Linked DNA regions of Drosophila melanogaster. The protein of the gene in region 1 purifies or fractionates together with the protein of each later gene. This does not show direct contact. Each region holds a gene or a part of one and is shown on either strand. Other genes may lie near its edges. The genes, in order: Xport-A and Hsp27.

Evidence for each region.
Region 2: the proteins of Xport-A (region 1) and Hsp27 purify together in Drosophila melanogaster (affinity purification with western blotting, with the first as the bait; one study listed by BioGRID). This does not show direct contact.

What each region holds. Positions count from the first base shown.
Region 1 is NT_033777.3:19,913,832-19,917,640, forward strand, and holds Xport-A (exit protein of rhodopsin and TRP A), read right to left. Parts: upstream 1,582-3,809; 5' UTR 1,464-1,581; coding exon 1,250-1,463; exon of another isoform or gene 1,246-1,249; intron 1,182-1,245; coding exon 1,045-1,181; 3' UTR 994-1,044; coding exon of another isoform or gene 652-993; 3' UTR 565-651; downstream 1-564. Other genes in the region: Xport-B (exit protein of rhodopsin and TRP B), read right to left, coding at 652-993; CG4465 (uncharacterized protein), read right to left, coding at 2,159-3,159, 3,215-3,809.
Region 2 is NT_037436.4:9,381,875-9,385,800, forward strand, and holds Hsp27 (heat shock protein 27), read left to right. Parts: upstream 1-2,188; 5' UTR 2,189-2,311; coding exon 2,312-2,953; 3' UTR 2,954-3,820; downstream 3,821-3,926. Other genes in the region: Hsp23 (heat shock protein 23), read left to right, coding at 124-684.

The DNA.
Region 1 (3,809 bases):
ATTGGCTAAAGAGTGGGTGCGCGTAGTGTATGTTAGAATGTGGATCTCTTATGAAATTGGTAATACCTAGCTCTTAATCACATACTGACCTCCTTAAATCAAATGATACTTAAGATATCTTCAGCTTTGTGGTATCTTCAAAACTCTACACTTTGTGCCACAAAACGAATACCTGAACACAAGCGATTTGTAGACAGCACTTATTATAAACCAAATGGCATAACTTCCAAGTCAAATACCTAACTACTTTATATCTCCATATAACTATTTTTCACGAGATGCTTCAGATGCAAACTAGCAATGACCAGATCTGGATTGAATAGAGCTTACTTACAGACCAAATCGATATATATTCCATGATATTTATAGAGATTAGTATGTTTATAAAGTTTTGTGAATAGGTTAGTAAGTGAGCTAATGCTGGAGACACACGAATATATTCTGCAAACATTTAAATAAAAAAGCTGAAAACCACAAGTTGGATAAATATTTCTATTGTTGTTCATAATGGTGGGATACAATGTAGAATTCGAATGTAGAGAGCAAGACAATTAAGTATGCAATACGGTTAGTAAGATATTTTATTCTACGAAACTCATATAAAACACACTAAGTATAATTGATACCATATATAATTAATTATAGGATGGGCTATCTTATGTTGCTCGTAACTAGGCAAACATCGAATGGTGGTAGAGTGCCGGTAATCTCCAAGAATCGTCGAAGGATGTGGCAATAGGTGTTTCCCATGGGCGGAGATTCAGTTCCTTCCGCCGGAATTCTAGCCACCTCGTCCGGAGTGTCCAGCTCCCTAACATAATCCATAAAGTTGTCCACATTGATGGGTGTCTCTGCCCTCGTCTTTGCTGGTTCCGTCTGCAACTTTCGCTGGAACTCACTTCTGTAGTAGTCGTTGATCATGGACATCATCCCCTTGGAATACCAGTAGATGATGCCAATCAAGAATAGGCCCTGCATGAATGGACCGACCATATTGTATGCTTCCACTTGATTTACTTATTTGTTCGATAGATCCTTTGGTTTCTACTGCTGATGCTCCTCGCGGAAGCTTTCAAGCCATTGATTAACCATGTAGAATTGCTCCTTGATGTGCGGCCAGGCCATGGTGACAATTAGCATTATGGTATTGGCGAAGACAAAGAGTTTCATCATTTCAAATGCTATTGGAAAGGGGTAATATTTATTAGTTAAATGAACTATATATTTTTAAGGAGCGAAAATTACAGACCCTCCGGAGTGCGAAGATAGTCGCCGAAGCCGGAATTTAGATCCTTGTCATCCTTCTCGTCCACCTTCTGCTCATGCTTATGCTTATCCTTCTCGTCTCGGCTCTTGCCCTTACCACCACCCTCGACTTTATCCTTGCCAGAGTGTCCTTTACCGTGCTTGTTCCTGCCGTATCCCGTGGATGAATTGGCAAAGGCCGATTTCTTCGGCTTCATTGCATCCAGATAGCAGCAGTTGGTCGGTCAGCCTGCACAGCACTGCATTTGATTGGAGTTGGTCCTGGAAGTGCTCTCCGCCTGGTGCTTCCTCGCCAACTGCTGCTCCGCAAATGACACAAACTTTGTGGTGCCAATTGGCGTGGCGCCGCTTCTGGCAATTTTATGGTTTCCATTTTATTGATTTGCGATTTCTGCTTGTCGCTCTGGCTGGGTGGGAATGGTGGGACAGGTGACCAAATAGAAATATGTTGTTAGTGGAGCAATGCGCTTGGATATTTAGCCGGGCATGTGTACTTATTATACCAGTCACACGAAATGTGTGTCAACTTGGTGGATGAAGGTGGTCGCCGGTAGGGTTGGTGTTTGTGGGTTTACATTGGTCCCAAATGGCTCTGGTTCCTGAAAGCTTATTTAAATATCATGCAAACCAGTTTTAATTTATTTAATGCCTTATTCTGCCAAATAGTTTATAATAGTTTTGCATTGATCTAATGTAAGCTTTACATTTTAAACAAACTACGTGTAGATGCCGAACTTTTGATTTATTCCCAAAAGTATGCAACCCAATATACATATTCGATTCGCGATAAGCGAATGTTTAATGAGCTAAATTCGAATACTGTTCGCGAATACTTGACACACACTACAACTAACTTATCAAATACGCCCAGACATATATTAAGTATACGTTATTACGTGAACGCAATAAGTTGCTGTCCCTTGTTTACCACAGCTCCGACCGGTGGCTGCTCCTTGTCCCGCGTGACCAGGCAACATGTGCCAAGGCCGCCCAGGATGACCAGCAGACAGAAGGCGGACAGGGAGAGGGCGGGGCTCACCTGCCTGAGCAGCGTGAGAAAAGAGGCGGAGAGCTGCCACACCCGCGCCCACGTGACGGCGGAGAAGGAGAGGCAACTACGCTGCTCCATTGGCACCAGTTCGCCCAGGCAGGCCAAAATCATGGACTGGGCGCAGGCTACGGCCGCCTGGGGAAGTGATGCCATTAGCAAGCCCAGCGTCAGTCCATACACCTCGGGCATATCCTCCTCGGCCAGGAACCAACAGATGCTACCGATGCAACCGACCACGATGGCAAATCCCCCCGCCCACTGCCACTTGCGTTCACTCAGGTTGAAGGTCAGGTGTAGGGCCAGGAAGCAGCCAAGCATCTCGGCCAGGCCCATGGCCAGTGTGTTGGACACCAGGTGCTCCCTGCCAAAGGACCGCACATGGAGCAGCAGCCCAGTGTTGACCACCATGAAGGTGGCAAGTGCCATGTGCACGGCCACCAAGTGGAAAGTACTCCTACGCTGGCCCATCCACAAGTGCATCCAATGCACGGCGGGCATTGGCTCCAGCATCCTTTCTCTCAGCTCCTCCAACTGCTGGGGTAACTCCTTGGACACTTTGTGCATTCTACCATTGGTACGGGCTGCTTCCAGCAGGATACCCACCGTTCGCTCGATGGCCAGTTGAGCTTCCTTGGTGTGTTGCAGCTGCCAGCGCGGTGAGTCCGGAGTCCAGGGTAGCAGAAAGACAATCACCAGCAAGGAAAGAGTTACGCCCAAGTATATGTGCTGCCAGCTGGGAGCATTGGAGGCCAAGCCAGGGAGCAGAATCAAGCCCAGAGCCCAGAAGCAGTCGTAAAGTATGAGGGTTCCTACGCGATATTTTCCCGCTGTTATGTCACCAACTGAAAAGTAGGTTATTTAATATTAAAGTATTCTTAAATATTCAATTTTACTTACATATATACTGCCCCGAGGTGATCATAAAACAGCACGAAACAGCAGCCAGGCATCGGAGTCCACAGTGCAGACTGAAGTCTTTGACAAGACCCATCAGTAGGCTGCACATGAGCAGGCACCAGATGCCAGTTCTATAAATCTGTCGGGGACTCAGGACCCGCATCAACTTGGTGGCCGCCACGCCACCGATTAGGAGGCCAAAGAGGTGCCAGTACTGAGACCAGGCCACAAAGAAGTCGCACAGACACACCAAATCGAACTCCATGGTCAGGGAGTGGAAACCCGTGGTGTAGAGGAACTTTCGACACTGGCGCATGGCGTAGGCGGACTCTCCGTAGTTAACCATCACATAGCAGTGGTCCAGCGAGACGGTGGAGTTGACATCCGGCCCGAAAGCCGTCGTATCACACTTGTACTCCTCCTCGGGGTACAGATCCGGCGCTGTGAACAGGATGCAGGCCATGAACCAGGCGGCTGGAATCTTGCAGAGAAATAGGATGAGCAGGGAGCGCAGTTGCCAGGGCCCAAAGTTCCCCATGATGTGTGTGATGACATCGTCATCGTTGTCATCTGCTAGATTATTTGCTTTCGGGTG
Region 2 (3,926 bases), on another chromosome or scaffold:
GTGCAACCGGCGTCAGTTGAATTCAAAAAGCCAAAGCGATAACAGCTAAAGCGAAAGTAACCTATCAACAAAAGAAGTTTATTCTTTGAAGGAGAATCATCTTGAAGCAATTAAAAAACAAAAATGGCAAATATTCCATTGTTGTTGAGCCTTGCCGACGATTTGGGCCGAATGTCGATGGTGCCCTTCTATGAGCCCTACTACTGCCAGCGCCAGAGGAATCCCTACTTGGCCCTGGTTGGACCGATGGAGCAGCAGCTGCGCCAGCTGGAGAAACAGGTGGGCGCCTCGTCGGGATCGTCGGGAGCCGTGTCGAAAATCGGAAAGGATGGCTTCCAGGTCTGCATGGATGTGTCGCACTTCAAGCCCAGCGAACTGGTGGTCAAAGTGCAGGACAACTCCGTCCTGGTGGAGGGCAACCATGAGGAGCGCGAAGATGACCATGGCTTCATCACTCGTCACTTTGTCCGCCGCTATGCTCTGCCACCCGGTTATGAGGCTGATAAGGTGGCCTCCACCTTGTCCTCCGATGGTGTCCTGACCATCAAGGTGCCCAAGCCACCGGCAATCGAGGATAAGGGCAACGAGCGCATCGTTCAGATCCAGCAGGTGGGACCCGCCCATCTCAATGTGAAGGAGAATCCCAAGGAGGCGGTGGAGCAGGACAATGGCAACGATAAGTAGAGGACTCGTTCCGAGAGATGCCCTGCATTATTTAACCATTATCAAAGTCATACATCTGTTTTATAAGCTGTAGTTATCCAAGGACACTTCACTCATACACAATAGCCATTAAGGGTGTCCTGCTTTAATCTTAGTTTGGAATATGTATTACTAAATTGGCGAAATTAATATTACCCATAAAAATAAATAACAAGTACACTTACTTATAATTGTGTTTGGTCTGTTTTTCTGGTTGGTTATGGGTTACTATTACTATTACTTTGGGAATTGTTTGGCTAGCTTGGCCCTTTTTCCTGTGATCCCGGTTTCTAGAATTTACTTTCTGCATTGTATATTGCATTGTTGTGTCACGTAAAATGGCATTTTTATTTAATTGTTGTTTGTGTACATAACTGACTTTTTACATTACTTCGGTAAAGAGACTTGAAGCTATGAATGTAAGGAACTTCAGTCAAGGTTAAATCCTTATGTAAAGCATGCATAAGTACATCATGTACATACATACGTACATAAGAATATACATCCCTTTTCACTCTCTTCTTTTTAATGAATTTCTGTCATCTCTACAAGAGATGTACGTTATGTACGTCCTTATAGCACGTACCTATGTACATGTATAAATTGAACTTCATTTTTGTATGTTACCGCAAATAATTACGTGCATGCACACATACACATACATATGTATGTATGCATGTAGTTTTGAAAATAATTATGTATTTTGGTTAACTGGTGAACCAAGAATAAAAAGATTCTATATACACATATACATATATATAGAAATGTATGCATATGTACATATAATAATCGAAACACTTGCAACAGACTGGCAATGATTTGCAAAATTTTCAATTGCCCCGTTTCCCACTTCGCGAAGCAGTGGCGAAAGCAACTGCAAAAATGTTTGCAACAAACAAAAGAACGGCAAACATGAGGAGCAGAACGAAGCGAGACAAGGGTTCAATGCACTTGTCCAATGAAAATACAAGCTCTGTTGCACTCTGAAAAGACAGCTTTTAAAAGAGCGATAAGAGAAGAAAATGCTTTAAATAAATACATATATCTGCATATATACGTACATGTACATACATATGTATGTACTGCATTTTAACTGTTCGTTTTGCTTTTTATTCGCAAAGAGAAACTCCCCAGAAAAGAAATGTCAAGAAGTTTCTGGTTCTTTCTCCCTCTCTCTATGAAAAGCCGGCTGTGCTAGAAAGAGCCAGAAGATGCGAGAGAAAACTGTTTGTTGAATTACGGGGCGTATTCAAAGGGGCTTTTAAATGTCGCTTAAATTTTAAGTTTGACAGGCTAATAATTGCTTGCCTATATCTAAATATTATTATATTTGCATTAGGGGATCATAGGGAAAACCTTCTCTGCAGGCAAAATCTAACGAAGATGGCAACCCCCCATCATTTTATTAAAGTTCCGTCCCTGGTTGCCATGCACTAGTGTGTGTGAGCCCAGCGTCAGTATAAAAGCCGGCGTCAACGTCGCCCGAGCACAGTCTAAACTGAAAAATTGAAGGCAAACGTTGAAGCAAACTTCGCTAAAAAAATTCGAAAAAGCAAAAAAAATTCCTTTGTCTAGACAGGGTTGTGAATAAAGAGAAAAAAAATCAAAAATGTCAATTATACCACTGCTGCACTTGGCCCGGGAGTTGGATCATGACTACCGCACCGACTGGGGGCATTTGCTGGAGGATGACTTCGGTTTTGGCGTCCATGCCCACGATCTGTTCCATCCGCGTCGCCTGCTACTGCCCAACACCCTGGGACTGGGTCGTCGTCGTTATTCGCCGTACGAGAGGAGCCATGGCCACCACAATCAAATGTCACGTCGCGCGTCGGGGGGTCCAAACGCTCTGCTGCCCGCCGTGGGCAAAGATGGCTTCCAGGTGTGCATGGATGTGTCGCAGTTCAAGCCCAACGAGCTGACCGTCAAGGTGGTGGACAACACCGTGGTGGTAGAGGGGAAGCACGAGGAGCGCGAGGACGGCCATGGAATGATCCAGCGTCACTTTGTGCGCAAGTATACCCTGCCCAAGGGCTTTGACCCCAACGAGGTAGTGTCCACTGTCTCATCCGACGGTGTGCTGACCCTCAAGGCCCCGCCGCCGCCCAGCAAGGAACAGGCCAAGTCGGAGCGCATTGTCCAGATCCAGCAAACGGGGCCTGCCCATTTGAGCGTCAAGGCACCGGCACCCGAGGCTGGCGATGGAAAAGCCGAAAATGGCAGCGGCGAGAAAATGGAGACTAGCAAGTAAAAGACGAAAAGAGGAAGACTAGGAGATGAAGAAGACGAGAAGAGGAAGAAGACTAGAAGAGGAAGAAGTCGTGAAGGAGGAAGAAGACGACGAGATTCGCTGGCGAAGCACGAGAGAAAGAAGAATTTAAAAGAAGAAACGGGAGTGTTGCCGCGCTGCTCGGAGAGAGCAAGACTAAAAAGGACACACCACAACACACCCAATGTATTACATTCACACACATCACATCATTACATCATCATCATAACATCCTAGACTAAGTGATTTTAAACTCCATTTATCATAATGCATAAAAAAAACAAAATTTTAGTGTGTATTATTAGGCTAAACAACTGGAGGATTCATTGCTCCCTTTGAGTTTATACTTTTTGTAACAAGAACAGGCGCAACACTCGGGAGAATTTTGCATTTCATTTGTGAATAAACGAATACAATAAATACAAATACACGAAAAGAAGTCAGCTGTCGAGTTTTTGTTGGTTTTTTTTCCTTTTTAGCTTCGAATCTGCAAATGTATTTGCATTTAGGGTAAACCGGCTTTTGTTGGGTGTCGTTAACTTTCAAGGGGTCTTATGTACATATTCTGTTTTCCTTGTCCTTGAATTGGACTTGTGGAAAATTAAATGGTCAGCCAATTGCTTAACCTTTGTCGACGATTGTTATGATGATTTGTAATGATTTTGCACAATTCAGAAATCGATATAAAAAAAAATGGGAAATGATTTTTGTTTTTCAATTACATTTTGACAAACGTCATGCAAATATTTCCAGTTCCGCGCACACTGAAAGAAAATCCAAGATAAGAACGACATTTAAATAATTTAATCAATTGTTTGCACATATTTATTTAAATATTTAATACATAATAAAAAATTTAGTTGCCCGTTCTGATTTCATATTGGTTGTTTTATGCTCGTAACTTGTAGCGATCATAAGTATTTACTGTTAATTCTATATCTATATCTAAAACGGC